2 linked regions of the Anolis sagrei genome follow. The protein of the gene in region 2 binds, or shares a complex with, the protein of the main gene of each other region. Links are inferred from orthologs where the notes say so. Each region holds a gene or a part of one and is shown on either strand. Other genes may lie near its edges. The genes, in order: ITGB3 and ITGA2B.

Region 1 (7,589 bases), about 2.2 Mb from region 2:
TTCCCACTTGCTACTAAGGAGGCTGTTCAGGTACTGAACTGGTGCTTGGCCGCTTTGACGATCTGGATGAGGGCGAACAAATTGAAATTGAATCCAGACAAGACAGGGGCACTCCTGGTCAGTCGTAAGGCTGAACAGGGTATAGGGTTGCAGCCTGAGTTGGATGGGGTTACACTCCCCCTGAAGATGCAGGTTCGCAGCTTAGGTGTGATCCTGGACTCATTGGTGAGCCTGGAACCCCCAGGTTTTGGCAGTGACCAGGGGAGCATTTGCACAGTTAAAACTTGTGTGTCAGCTGTGCCCGGACCTTGGGAAGTCTGACTTGGCCACGGTAGTCCACGCTCTGGTTACATCCCGTATAACGTACTGCAACGCGCTCTACGCAGGGTTGCCTTTGAAGACTGTCCAGAAGCTTCAAATGGTCCAACGGATGGCAGCCAGATTACTAAAAGGAGCAACACTCAGGGAGCATACAACTCCTCTGTTGCACCAGCTCCACTAGCAGCCAGTTTGCTACCGGGTCTATAAAGTCCTAAACGGTTCTGGCCCAACTTACCAGGCGGAACGCATCATCCTTTATGAACCTGCTAGGAATTTAAGATCGTCCGAGGAGGCCCTGCTCCCGATCCTGCTTGCGTCACAAACACGTTTAGTGGGAATGAGAGACAGGGCCTTTTCAGTGGTGGCCCCTCGACTATGGAACGCTCTTCCTGGGGACATTCGATCGGCCCCCTCCCTCTTAACATTTCGGAAGAGAGTCAAGACTTGGTTGTTGGAGTAAGTGTTTGAAAATGCAAGGAAAAAGACATAGGAATTGGAACGACTGGACGACGAGATGGGACAATGTTTTTATTAGGAGATGCAAATGATCTTTGTTTTTAGTATTCTTGTTATGGTTTTATATTATGTGTTAATGTTTTAAAATGTTTTATGGTGTTTTGGGGCATCATATTGTTGCCATTGTAAACTGCCCTGAGTCGCCTGAGGGCTGAGAAGTGCGGTATACAAATACAGTAAATAATAATAATAATAATAATAATAATAATAATTCCCTGACAGATTTTGTATGCTGCTTCACAAAACTTTGCAACATTGTAAGTTGTAGCTGAATTAGTACCTATATGGCAATGTAGAAGGAGCTTTCAAGTCAGTTATCAACACGTGGCAAATCATTCATTTCCTTGGATTTTCTTAGGCAAAGAATATTCAGAGCTGGTCGCACCTACAGCCCCTGATTTTCCTTGGTGGTCTCCCTTCCAAGTGCCAACCAAATCTGAGTCTGCCTAGCTTCAAAGTCAGAGCATCCGATGCCTTCAGCATTTAGGCCTTGGGCATTGTATATCCCACCTATGTTCTCTGTATGGCTTGGATCTGAACACAAGGGGGCAGTAAAGGAGAAGCTGAAAACAAAACTTTCAGGTGTACATAACATATTAAAAGATGCAACTAATTACATAAGCAGCATATTCCCTTCTTCCCAATTATCAACGAATTCAGTTCCTTAATGTCTGGTGTTTTGGGTGATCTTTGTTCAATTACTTAAACTGCAGGCACCAAACCTTCTTCAATCAGTTATGTTTCTTTGATAAAAACTTTACAGTTGGACTCGTTTGCAAACTATGGATAATTTGGGGCTGATCCATCAAAGCTGGGTGGCTTATTACCTCCTTAGCATAATCTGTGTATGTTCTTGGAACCATAATAATAACAACAACAATAATAATATACTTTATTTATATTCCGCTCTGTATCCCCGAGGGGACTCAGAGCAGATTACAATATACACGGAAACAGTAATTATTATAGTAGATTGCCTGGGAGAAGTTAAAAAAGGGTTTTCCTTTCAAAAGAAAAGAAACAGTTGTCAAAGCCATTTGCCTGTTACTTGTGGACAAGATTAAGAAAGCTACCAGTCATTTGTATGATTGTCGTTGAAGACTGAAGAAGTATTTGTTTAATTTGTTCAACAATAAAGGACTTTGTTAAACCTTTCAAGCCTCTAAAGACTCTTCCAGAGGAAAATCCTTAGGGCCTCTCTATCAAGGCGCCCTGGCTTTCCGCTGGGCACAAAGTGCACGTCCTGTTCAAAAGACAATTATTACAGGCCCAGTGAGTGACAGCATTATTATTATTATTACTAGCTATCCCCTGCCACGCGTTGCTGTGGCCCAGTCTGGTGATCTGGAAAATGAAGTAATGAGAAAGTGTTGGTTTCTAATATATGTAATTTCTTTATGCTTGTGTTGATATAGAGATTGTCTAGTTGGCCTACTCTGGAGCATGCAAAATAGAATTGTCCTTGTTTAGTGGTCCCTTTCAAATCTATGATACTATATCTGTGTGTGTGTGTGTGTGTGTGAGTCATATATCTCTCTCTATATCTATGGCTGGGTGGTTCTTTGTCAGGAGGGCTTTGATTACATTTTCTTGCCCTGGTAAAGGGAGTTGGACTGAATGGCCTTAAGTATTTTCTGTTGGTCATGGGGGTTCCGTGTGGGAGGTTTGTCCCAATTCTGTCATTAGTGTGGTTCAGAACGCTCTTTGATTGTAGGTGAACTATAAATCCCAGTAACTACAACTCCCAAATGTCAAGGTCTTTTTTCCCCAAACTCCATCTGTATTTATATTTGGGCATATTGAGTATTTGTGCCAAGTTTGGTCCAGATCCAACATTCTTTGAGTCCACAGTGCTCTCTAGATGTAGGTGAACTACAATTCCAAAATTCAAGGTCAGTGCCCACCAAACCCTTTCAGTATTTTCTGGTGGTCATGGGAGTTCTGTGTGCCAAGTTTGGTTGAATTCCATCGTTGGTGGTGTTCAGAATGCTCTTTGATTATAGATGAACTATAAATCCCAACAACTACAACTCCCAAATGACAAAATCATAATTTTTGAGTGATGGTCATTCCTTGTGTAGTGAGACGTTTTGTTGCCAAATTTGGTGTGATTTCGTTCATTAGTTCTTTTGTTTTTAAGGTACTCATTATGCACTGAGCATTTTATATATAGAGATTATTATTATTATTATTATTATTATTATTATTATTATTATTATTAGAGGAGTTGGGAGGGAAAGCCACTCCATGTGTAATGCAGTTTGACATCACTTTAACCACCATGGCTCAATGCTGTGGAATTATGGAAGCTGTAGTTTTACAGAGTGTTCAGCCCTCTCTGCCAAAAGTGCTGGTGCCTCACCAAATTATATTCTGGGTTATATGGCAGTGTAGACTCATATAATCCAGCTCAAAGCAAATAATGTGGATAATCTCATCCGATAATCTAGATCAGTGTTTCTCAACCTGGGGGTCGGGACCCTTGGAGGGGTCGCGAGGGGGTATCAGAGGGGTCACCAAAGATCATGAGGAAACACAGTATTTTCTGTTGCTCATGAGGGTTACATGTGGGAAGTTTGGCCCAATTCTATCGTTGGGGGAGTTCAGAATGCTCTTTGATTGTAGGTGAACTATAAATCCCAGCAACTACAACTCCCAAATGTCAAGGTTTATTTTCCCCAAACTCCACCAGTGTTCACATATGGGCTAATTGAGTTTTCATGCCAAGTTTGGTCCAGATCCATAATTGTTTGAGTCCACAGTGCTCTCTGGATGTAACTGAACTACAACTCCAAAACTCAAGGTCAATGCACACCAAACCCTTCCACTATTTTCTGTTGGTATTTGGGAGTTCTGTGTACCAAGATTGGTTCAATTCCATTGTTGGTGGAGTTCATAATGCACTTTGACTGCCGGTGAACCATAAATCCCAGCAACTACAACTTCCAAATGACAAAATCAACCCCCCACCCCACCCTACCATTATTCAAATTTGGGCATATTGGGTATTTGTGCCAAATTTAGTCCAGAGAATGAAAATACATCCTGCATATCAGATACTTACATTACGATTCATAACAGTATTACAGTTATTAAAGTAGTAACGAAAATAATTTTATGGTTGGGGGTCACCACAACATGAGGAACGGTATTAAGGGGTCACAGCATTAGCAAGATTGAGAAACACTGATCTAGATTATATGGCAGTGTAGAAGGGGCCTCTAGCAGAGAAAGTGGGTGCCTCGCCAAACCACAAATCCCATCTTGCTGCATTGATAATCAAGATTATGTGGCAGTGTGGAGCCAGCCTGAGTTTGAACAAGGGAGACTCACTTCAGCCAAACACAGCACCTCCTTGTTCAGCAGAGAAGGCGGAAGAGAAGCCGCCTCTCCTTTTCTGTTTGTTTCCATGAACTTTGGAAAGAAAATGATAATATCTCAAACTGCATCTCAAACCCTGGCGAGAGGCGGGGGCTGTGGGAAAATGGGAAGAGGAGGGAGAGGTCTGGAAAGTGTCATAAAGGTCAGAAGGAGTCGGTCACTCCATCTCTCCTCCCCAACAAAGCAGTTCCTAAAGGAAAGAGGCGGATCCTGCTAAGCCTTGGTGACCTGAGCCAGGCAGAGAGGGAGGGAGAGTGGGGCGGGCACACAGCTGTTTCCCTGCTCTCTTTCAAGCATCTCTCAGGGACAGAGGCGCCCAGAAAAGTTTCTTCCAACTCTACCCCAGCAGCTCCTCTGAACAGGCAAAGCATGGGCACATTCTCCTCCTCTTCCACTCTCCTTGGAATGTGTAGCATGCTCTTCTTCACCTCCAAAGTCTGGGGTAAGTTGCACTTGAGACAAGGCTGATTATTGCATTTCTCATTTCTGTGTATGGCTGGGAAAGTTGGGATAGGGGAGAAGTTTGGGGTGACTCTCATCAAGAGTGTAGAATGAATGCAATTTGGTATCACTTTAACTGGAGTTTCATGCAGTTTGACAACACTTTTAACTGTCAAAGAAAGTTGGTGCCCCACCAAACGACAGATCCCAAATTGCTGGGATTTGTAGTTTTGGCGAGGCACCAGCCACCGTTGACAGAGATGTGCCACAGACCTTATTTAATTATTTACAACATTTATATGCCGCCCTTCTCACCCCAAAGGGGACTCAGAGCGGCTTACAAGATATATCAATATCTATATCTCTATCTCTATCTATCTATCTAAATAAATAAATAAAAATGTAATGTTCGTTTGTGGGATTAACAGAACTCAAAAACCACTGGACGAATTGACACCAAATTTGGACACAAGATACCTAACAACCCAATGTATGTCCTTCACTCAAAAAAACCTGATTTTGTCATTTGGGAATTGTAGTTGCTGGGATTTATAGTTCACCAACAATCAAAGAGCAATCTGAACCCCACCAACAATAGAATTGAACCAAACTTGGCACACAGAACACCCATGACCAACATAAAACACTAGAAGGGTTTGGTGGGCATTGACATTGAGTTTGGGAGATGTAGTTCACCTACATGCAGAGAGCCCTGTGGGCTCAAACCATGATGGATCTCGACCAAACTTGGCACGAATATTCCATATGCCCAAATATGAGCACAGATGGAGTTTGGGGAAAATAGACCTTGACATTTGGGACTTGTAGTTACTGGGATTTATAGTTCACCTACAATCACAGAGCATTCTGAACCCCACCAACGATAGAATTGGGCCAAACTTCCCACACAGAACCCCCATGTGGGCCACAGCAACGCATGGCAGGGGACGGCTAGTCTATATATATATATATATATATATATATGCAATATATTATATTATTAGCATAGTGCAATATTAGTATTAATAACGGCGTTCCATGCAGTCATACTGGCCACATGACCTTGGAGGTGTCTACGGACAACGCTGGCTCTTTGGCTTAGAAATAGAGATGAGCACTACACCCCTGAGTCGAACACAACTGGACTTAATGTCGGGGAAAACCTTTACCTATATTCTACTATACCATTATATTGTAATATTATTAGTAATATTACATGCAATATAAATATATAATTGTAATATCATATTATTAGGCAAAGGCAAAGGTTTTCCCCTGATATTACGTCCAGTTGTGTCCGACTCTAGGGTGTGGTGCTCATCTCCATTTCTAAGCCGAAGAGCCGGCATTGTCCATAGACACCTCCAAGGTCATGTGGGTGGCATGACTGCATGGAGCGCCGTTACCTTCCCACCGGCGCGGTGCCTATTGATCTACTCACATTTGCATGTTTTCGAACTGCTAGGTTGGCAGAAGTTGGGGCAGACAGCGGGAGCTTACGCCGCTCCCCGGAATCGAACCTGCAACCTTTCGGTCAACAAGCTCAGCAGCTCAGCACTTTAACCCTTTGCACCACCAGGGGCTCTTACAAGATACATATACATACAATATATTATATTATTAGCATAGTGCAATATCAGTATTAAATATTATATTGTACTATACCATTATATTGTAATATTATTAGTAATATAAATATATAATTATAATATCATATTATTAGGTAAAGGTAAAGGTTTTCCCTTGACACTAAGTCCATTCGTGTCCGACTCTAGGGTGTGGTGCTCATCTCCATTTCTAAACCGAAGAGCCAGCATTGTCCATAGACACCTCCAAGGTCATGTGGGTGGCATTACTGCATGGAGCGCCGTTACCTTTCCACCGGCGCGATACCTATTGATCTACTCACATTTGCATGTTTTCGAACTGCTAGGTTGGCAGAGGTTGGGGCTGACAGCAGGAGCTCATGCCGCTCCCCGGAATCGAACCTGCGACCTTTCGGTCAACAAGCTCAGCAGCTCAGCACTTTAACCCTTTGCACCACCAGGGGCTCTTACAAGATACATATACATACAATATATTATATTATTAGCATAGTGCAATATCAGTATTAAATATTACTATATTGTACTATACCATTATATTGTAATATTATTAGTAATATTACACGCAATATAAATATATAATTGTAATATCATATTATTAGGCAAAGGTAAAGGTTTTCCCCTGATATTACGTCCAGTTGTGTCCGACTCTAGGGTGTGGTGTTCATCTCCATTTCTAAGCCGAAGAGCCAGCATTGTCCATAGACACCTCCAAGGTCATGTGGGTGGCATGACTGCATGGAGCGCTGTTACCTTCCCACCGGCGCGGTGCCTATTGATCTACTCACATTTGCATGTTTTCGAACTGCTAGGTTGGCAGAAGCTGGGGCTGACAGTGGGAGCTCACGCCACTCCCCGGATTCGAACCTGCGACCTTTTGGTCAACAAACTCAGCCACTCAGCTGTTTAATCCACTAGGGGCTCCTAATAATTATATTATTAGTAGTGTCATATTGCATTACATTATATATATATATATAACAACATTTAAAAATATTTCTTTTCATTGAAAATATTACCAATAGGTTCTTGTGGGTTTTTTCGGGCTATAGGGCCATGTTCTAGAGGCATTTCTCCTGATGTTTCGCCTGCATCTATGGCAAGCATCCTCAGAGGTGGTGAGGTCACCACCTCTGAGGATGCTTGCCATAGATGCAGGCGAAACGTCAGGAGAAATGCCTCTAGAACATGGCCCTATAGCCCGAAAAAACCCACAAGAACCTAGTGATTCCAGCCATGAAAGCCTTCGACAATATTACCAATATTTTGTATTTAGAATATTTGTATTTCATTATTCAGACAGAGGCCAAAGGGGGCGCTAAAGAG
Region 2 (8,065 bases):
GATGGAGTTTAAGGGAAATAGACCTTGACATTTGAGAGTTGTAGTTACTGGGATTTATAGTTCACCTACAATCAAAGAGCATTCTGAACTCCACCAATGATGGAATTGAACCAAACATGGCATACAGGACTTCCATGACTAACAAAACACACTGGAAGGGTTTGGTGGGCATTGACCTTGAGTTTTGGAGTTGTAGTTCACCTACATCCAGAGAGCACTGTGGACTCAAACAATGGTGGATCTGGACCAAACTTGATACAAAAATTCCGTATGCCTAAATATGAACACAGATGGAAATCGGAGGAAATACACCTTGACATTTGGGATTTGTACTTACTGGGATTTGTAGTTCACTACAATTAAAGAGCATTCTGAAACCCACAAACGACAGAAATGGGGCAAACTTCCCACACAGAACCCCCATGACCAACAGAAAATACTTAAGGCCATCCAGTCCAACTCTCTTCTTCACGAGGGCAAGAAAATGTATTCAGAGCCCTCCTGACAAAGAGCCATCCTGCCATAAATATAGATAGATATGATTCTCTCTCACACACATATATAGTATCACAGATTTGAAAGAGACCCTTAAAGAAGGACTATGATATGTTGCATATTCCAGAGTAGGCAAGCCAGAAACTCTCCACAACAACACTGACAAAGAAACAGCAAGAAAAACTGTTTACTCACATGCATAAAGAAATTACATATATTAGAAACCAACACTTCCTCATTACTTTATTTTCCAGATCAACAGACTGGGCCACAGCAACGCGTGGCAGGGGACAGCTAGTATATAATAAAGTTATATGCACACTAAACACACACATTTTATGGGAAAACTGCACCAAACTTATGTTTTCATAAGGACAACATATGACGGTATTAACTATAAACAATATGTATCTTTTGTTAACTTATTTTGACAATTTTTCAATTGTAAATAAAATACTCAAAGTGTTGTAAATACATTAACATTATTATGGGAACTATACTGAACTCAAAGGAGCTATTTTTACTGTGTTACTGTGGCCCACATGGGGGTTCTCTGTGACCCAATTCTATTGTTGGTGGGGGTCAGAATGCTCTGTGATTGTAGGTGAACTATAAATCCCAGCAACTGCAATTCCCAAATGTCAAGGTCTTCCCCAAACTCAACCAGTGTTCATATTTGGGCATATTGAATATTTGTGCCAAGTTTGATCCATATCCATCACTGAGTGCACCGTGCTCTCTGGATATAGGTGAACTACAACTCCAAAACCAAAGGACACTGCCCACCAAATCCTTCCAGTATTTTCTGTTGGTCATGGAAGTTCTGTGTGCCAAGTTTGGTTCAATTCCATCATTGGTGGGTTCAGAATACTCTTTGATTGTAAGTGAACTACAAATCCCAGCAACTACAACTCCCAAATGTCAAGATTCTATTTTCCCAAAACTCCACCAATGTTCACATTTGGGTATATTGAGTATTCGTGTAGAGTTTGGTCCAGATCCATCATTGTTTGAGTCCACAGTGATCTCTGGATGTAGGTGAACTACAGCTCCAAAACCTAAGGACACTGCCCACCAAACCCTTCCAGTATTTTCTGTATTTTCTTGCAATATTTTCTTGCAAGCAAAGGAATTAATCAGCAATTGAACATACTGGAGAGGTTTGGAGAGAATTCACCATGATTTATAGTGGTTGAAGATACTGGGATGTATAATTCACCTGCAATCTAAGAGCACTCTGAACTCTTACCAATGATGGACCTGGAACTAACTTGGCAAACAGAGCCCCCATGACCAACAAAAAATACTGGAGGTCTCTGGGGAAAATTCACCTTGATTTGGGGGAGTTGTAGTTCACCTACATCCAGAGAGTATTGTGAACCCAAACACCGATGTATCTAGAATAGAATAATAGAATCATAGAGTTAGAAGAGACCTCATGGGCCATCCAGTCCAACCTCATTCTGCCAAGAAGCAGGGAAATTGCATTCAAAGCACCCCGACAGATGGCCAGCCAGCCTCTGTTTAAAGGTTTCCAAAGAAGGAGCCTCTACCACACTCCGGGGCAGAGAGTTCCACTGCTGAACAGCTCTCAAAGTCAGGAAGTTCTTCTTAATGTTCAGATGGAATCTCCTTTCTTGTAGTTTGAAGCAATTGTTCCGTGTCCTAGTCTCCAGGGCAGCAGAAAACAAGTTCGCTCCCTCCTCCCTATGACTTCCCCTCACATATTTCTACATGGCTATCATGTCTCCTCTCAGCCTTCTCTTCTTCAGGCTAAACATGCCCAGCTCTTTAAGCCGCTCCTCATAGGGCTTGTTCTCCAGACCCTTTATCATTTTAGTCTGGACCAGACTTGGCACACATACTTGATATGCTGAAATTTGATTACTGGAGGGGTTTGGGGGCAACTGACTTCCCTTTCTGGGAGTTGTAGTTCACCCACAACCAGAGAAACTGTGAGCTTCACTGATGATGGACCTGGACCAAACTTGGCACACAGAACCTACTGGGAGGGTTTGAGGGGCTGATTCACCATAGTCGGAGTTGTAGTTTATCCGAAAGCCAGAGAGCACACTGAACCCCACTGATGATGCACCCAGAGCAAACCTGCCTAATGTAACAACCTTTATGATGGAGTTTTTCTGGGTTAATCTAGCATGATGTGAATTATAGTTCACCCACAAACTTATTCATTTTGTACAATTTTTTAAAAATGACTTTTTCAAGTAACCCATGCAATGCCGGGTACCCAAGCTAGTACCCAGCAAACAGAAAAGTTCAGACATTCAGAAATGGGAGATAGGTAAAATTCAAAGCAGGAAGGTTAGTAGTATCCATATTTTTAAAATCTGACTGCTGTTTAGAATCCTTTGTATCCACGTTCTCCACTTTCCAGTCAAATATACACTTTCAGTTCTCCACATTCACACTGAACTGGAAGCAGACCTGCCAGACCTACATAACCACTTACCAACCTGTCTTGCCCTCCAAATATTCCACCTCGATTCCACCCAGGCTGATTGCAATGCAAAAAAATATAGGACTTTCTTAGAAAGCACAGTTCAATGTGTTTTTGCTCCAGCTTGTAAAGTGAAAGTACTCCCTTTAGGGTTATATTAATCCTAAAGGGAGCACTTCCACTTTAAAAACAGAGGAGTGTTATGTGTTCTAGCAGCACTAAGAATCATTACCGTATTTGGTAGGTGTGGATTCAGATGATGTTTCTGAAAAATGTGCTTCCTTTCCAAAGTCTTTCCCATCCTCTGGTCTTTCCCATCAGCCAATTGCGCAACCATCTATCCGCTCCTTTGGTCTCTTCCATCTCAAATGCATTTGGACTGATTCACCAGCTACCAAGGAAAGGCTTGTCATGAACAAAAGATTAAGCAATGTAAACGTTGTTTAAAAGCTGTTCGAGAGTTGATCTTGGCGAGAAAATAGCTTTTATTTTTCCTCCCAACATTTCACAGTTGTGCCTGTACCTTGGGAAGTCTGATTTGGCCACAGTGGTGCATGCTCTTGTTACATCCCGAATAGATTACTGCAACGCGCTCTAGGTGGGATTGCCTTTGAAAACTGTTCGGAAACTTAATTTAGTCCAAAGGGCAGCAGCTAGATTAATCACCGGAGCGTCATACAGGGAACATACCACCCCTCTGTTGTGTCAGTTCCACTGGCTGCCGATCCAGTTCTGAGCACAATTCAAAGTGCTGGTTTTGACCTATAAAACCCTGTACGGCTCCGGACCAGCGTACCTGTCCGAACATATCTCCTTATATGTCACACCTCAGAGCTTAAGATCTTCTGGGGAGGCCCTGCTCTCCACAAGTGAGGCTGGTGGGGACGAGGGACAGGGCCTTCTCAGTGGTGGCCCCTCGCCTGTGGAACTCACTCCCCGGGGAAATTAGGTCATCAACATCCCTCCTCTCCTTCAGAAGGAAGCTGAAAACATGGATATGGGACCAGGCCTTTGGTTAATCAGGCAGACTGACAAGGTAATGATGACCAGAATTTGGAAAGGACTATGGTAATGCTGAATGGATTTATGGATTTTAGAACTCGGTGAACGTTAGCCACTAGATTGGCTTTTAGTTGTTATTATATTAATTGAATGTTTTAACTTGTGGTTATTGTTGTTATGTATTTTATCTGTTGAATTGTTGGCATCGAATTGTGCCGGTTGTAAGCTGCCCTGAGTCCCCCCAGGGGGTTGAGAAGGGCGGGGTAGAAGTGCCCGAAATAAATAAATAAATAAATAAAACTGGAACACATCTGACCAACCACCTCTCCCCCACTTTTTTCACTTTACAAAGCATTATCATCTTTCCTGTTGAGAATTTAATCATCACATGATATGGCCAAAATATGACAACCTCAATTTAGTCATTTTTCCAACTTTAAGGACTGTATTTGCCGAGATACTAGATGTTGGAGCCCTTGGTGCTGCAGTTGGTTAAACCGCCGAGCTGCTGAACTTGGTGACTGAAAAGTTGCAGGTTCGAATCCAGTGAGTGGCGTGAGCTTCCGCTGTCAGCCCCAGCTTCTGCCAACCTAGCAGTTTGAAAACATGCAAATGTGAGTAGATCAATAGGTACTGCTTTGGTGGAAAGGTAACAGTGCTCCATGCGGTCATGCCGGCCACATGACCTTGGAGGTGTCTACAGACAATGCCAGCTCTTCGGCTTAGAAACTGAGATGCGCACCAACCCCCGGACTTAAATGTCAGAGGACAACCTTTACTTACCTACCTTTTCCTACTTTTTTTCTCCTTCTTCTCTTCCTTCAATTTCCTACCTCCCTTTGTCTTCCTTTTATTCTTCCCATCTTCCCTCTTTTCCTACTTCCCTTTTTTTACTTTTTCTTTTCTCCCATCCTCCCTCCCTCCATTTTAGAAGGGGCAAGAGTGAATGGCAGGGTTAGTCTAAGGTTAAGAGCAAGGCCAGGTAAATTACATTTGGGTGTGGGTGGAATTGGCCTGCGGCCCATAGTTTGGCCACCCTTGCTTTAGGGCTTTTAGGCCTATGCTCACAGATGAAAACCAGGACATGTGTCACCAGGTAGCATCAGAGCATCAGAGTGCGATGAAAATGGAAAAAGTTGTTGATGAAGAGATTGCCCAAGTTTACAAGGAAAGGCAAGATTCTGTCTTCTGAGTGCAAATTACGTAAATATTGCTGAGAATGGATGTGAACCATGTTATGGATAAACAAAGTGCAATAGTACATTTATGGTCCTTACACATTAAAGGAGCACGATTACCAGTGAAAGTCTCGTTTATATTTCAGTCCAAAACAATGATTAAACTAGATTTCTTATAGGATATGAAGCAAACTGAACCACCTCTAGAAAGAATGCCTCGTCTCCTAAACTTGCACACAAGGCATTGACTGGAAAGATCCTCTTAAATCATTAATATATTTAATATCGACTTGCCGTCAAGCAAATAAAAAATACTTGTTCATATCCTTAAAATAAACTACCAGATCTCAATTGCTGTTGGAAGGGTTTTTTTGTATTTACTTTTTACCTTTGTTACTTTTATTGAACAAAAAAAAAAGGGTTTCTGTGCAAACAGCAATAAAATAAAAAGGACACATAATCAATTTGGTGTACTGCGACAGCTCTTTTCGTCAACACAAGGCAGTGGTAAGGTCTCAAAATAAGCCAGTCCCTAAACTGTTCCTAAACACTGGAGACTTTGTGCCTTGAGTCAGCAATCTCTTTTTGAAGGATTGGGTCAAATCCTGCAATTTATGAAAACTAAAGTTTCTTCTCAGAGTTTAGAGAAAGCCATATCTGGGATTATGGATCATTTAGGTATAAGTAAATTTTTAAAGGTATAATAATAATTTTATTATAATAAACGCTTCCTACTAACACATTTAAACCGCTGAGCTCATGAACTTGTTGACTGAAAGGTCACAGGTTCGAATCTGGGGAGCGGCATGAGCTTCCACTGTCACCCCCAGCTTCTGCCAACCTAGCAGTTAAAAAAAATGCAAATGTGAGATCAATAGGTAACGCTCCAGCGGGAAGTTAACGGCACTCTATGCAGTCATGCCAGCCACATGACCTTGGAGTGAATGAATTTACCCACCACACATTTCTGTGGCCAACCTTCTCTCCCTTTCTCTCATCTTCCTTCCTTCTCTCCCTTTTCTTCCTTTTCGCCTTTCCTTCTCTTTCCTCCCTCCCTCCCTTTTTTCTTTTCTCTTCTTCCTTCCTTCTCTACCTTTTCCTTCCTTCCTTTGCTCTTTGCTTCCATCTTTCTTTCTCTTTCCTGCTTTCTTTCCCGTCCTTTCTCTCCTTTCTTCTCTCCCTCTTTTCTTCCTTCTCTTCTCTACCTCTTGCATGGGCACCGGCAGGAAGGGAGTCTTGCAACCCTCGGCCTTGCTGGGCTGGGCATGGGGCAGGCACTTTTCGAGGCAGGCCAGCGTCACCTCTTCTTTTTGCCATGGCTGTGGGCACCTTCCTGCCTGTTTGCCGGTTGGGCATGCAGGCAGGGTCACATGATAGGTGCTGTAATGTATTCTTGGTTTTGGGGTTTGTAAAGTTCGTTCCAGTTAATTATTTTTGGTCTTTTTGAGTGAAGAACATACATTGGTTTGGTTGGTCTATTGTGGCCGAATTTGATGTCAATTCATCCAGTGGTTTATGAGTTATGTTAATCCCACAAACCAACATTACATTTTTATTTATATAGATTTAGGGCTACGGCAGGATGAATATAAAGAGCAGGCTTTGCTTCTCCTGGATGTGCAAGAACCACCCCATTTCCTGCCCCACAAAAGACCCTCTATCAGTTTAGTGCAACTGTCACGCCTTTCCTGGTTGCAAAGGCTTTATCAAAAAGCAGACGCAAAGCCAACCACAAGTGATAGAGAATGGAACTCAGAAGGAATGGAAATAAATGGCACAACCATAGAAATATATTTGCCCCATGGACTCATTTTCTCCTTTACCTCTGGTGTTTTCTCGCCCATCACAGTAGTGTGGTTCTGAAATGTTATCTAGCTCTTCCTGGCATCTGGTTTTGCCTTGTACAAGCAACCACAACAATATCAGTCACTTACTTCTTTTATCTTTAACTAGCTTTGCCCTGCCACGCGATGTTGTGGACTATAGTAAGACTTTTTGAAATAGAGGTAGGTATCTGGACTATTATGAAAGAGTGGTACCTATTTATTCTGTTGCCACTGGGTCCGAACAAAATGTCTTTATTCTATAGAACACATACCTTAAACCCAGTGGGAAGCCGGGGTGCCCAAAGAGAGATTGTTAGAGACTTCCAGAAGTAATGGGCTTTAGAGTTCTTTAAAGGTACGAAAGGAACAAATCTTCAAACAACACTTTAAGGCTTTCTTATACTAGTCTTTAAGAGACTGGCACTGACTTGGTTTAACTATACTATCTCAACATGAGGAAGAATCCTTTGTAATCTCTCCCAGGCCGTCCATCACCCAGGCCTCGCTGGTCTGGGTAAAACAGCCGATCCCCAAATGCATCTGGAAACCGAGTAACCTACCAGACGAAGCTAGAAGATGCTTAGCTGGAATTCTGTGGTTCTGCAGTGCTGTCCTGTGGAAACTTCAGGTCTGTTTTCCCCTCTGGTGCTGTGAGGCTGAGAGGCTGTGAGCTCTCAGCCAGAGCCTTTGGGACCTTTTCCTTCCGTTTCTCTGGAACTGGATAGTCAGTTTGGACCCTGGATGGTCTTGAGGAATGAAGCCTTTCCTACGGAACAAACTGATTTGCGTCCTATAGGCTGGTTTCCTTGTGTGTGACTGCCTGAAAAATGGCCCCTTCCCTCCAAAAAAACCCAGAGGGGTGGGACCAGGGATCTTAACTATTATTGACAGGTGGCTTGCCCTATGAATGCAGCCAAAGGAAGCAAAGTCCCTGCAACTTAGGACTATGAACAAACACTCAGTGCAAAACACAAAATTGCAGCCCCTGGAACAGCCGTTTCAGAACACTATTCCTTTCCCCCTTTTTCTTCCCCTTCCCCTCCTCAGCCTCTGCCCTTTGTGGGGATTTTTTTTGAGTGATGATCATTCCTTGGATTGTGAGTTTT

What was found.
Region 1: the proteins of ITGA2B (region 2) and ITGB3 are in contact, whole or in part, in a cryo-EM structure (PDB 8GCE), measured with the Homo sapiens proteins. The link is inferred for Anolis sagrei from reciprocal best matches to the Homo sapiens genes ITGA2B and ITGB3. Residues at the interface, in NP_000410.2 of Homo sapiens: Gln49, Phe52, Arg72, Trp141, His143, Asn145, Glu152, Ala153, Glu154, Lys155, Pro157, Arg184, Phe191, Tyr197, Glu199, Phe202, Pro217, Tyr221, Phe222, Phe262, Asp263, Tyr265, Tyr268, Thr290, Trp293, Thr294, Gln315, Met316, Ala317, Tyr319; in NP_000203.2 of Homo sapiens: Ser188, Pro189, Tyr190, Tyr192, Ile193, Ser194, Pro195, Pro196, Tyr204, Asp205, Met206, Arg242, Asp243, Pro245, Lys279, His281, Ile282, Ala283, Leu284, Asp285, Arg287, Leu288, Ala289, Gly290, Val292, Gln293, Pro294, Asn295, Asp314, Tyr315.

The regions. Positions count from the first base shown.
Region 1 is NC_090026.1:45,735,312-45,742,900, reverse strand, and holds the start of ITGB3 (integrin beta-3), read left to right. Parts: upstream 1-4,377; 5' UTR 4,378-4,587; coding exon 4,588-4,660; intron 4,661-7,589. UniProt on the Homo sapiens protein: Integrin alpha-V/beta-3 (ITGAV:ITGB3) is a receptor for cytotactin, fibronectin, laminin, matrix metalloproteinase-2, osteopontin, osteomodulin, prothrombin, thrombospondin, vitronectin and von Willebrand factor.
Region 2 is NC_090026.1:47,949,626-47,957,690, forward strand, and holds the start of ITGA2B (integrin alpha-IIb), read right to left. Parts: upstream 3,111-8,065; 5' UTR 2,966-3,110; intron 1-2,965. UniProt on the Homo sapiens protein: Integrin alpha-IIb/beta-3 is a receptor for fibronectin, fibrinogen, plasminogen, prothrombin, thrombospondin and vitronectin. It recognizes the sequence R-G-D in a wide array of ligands.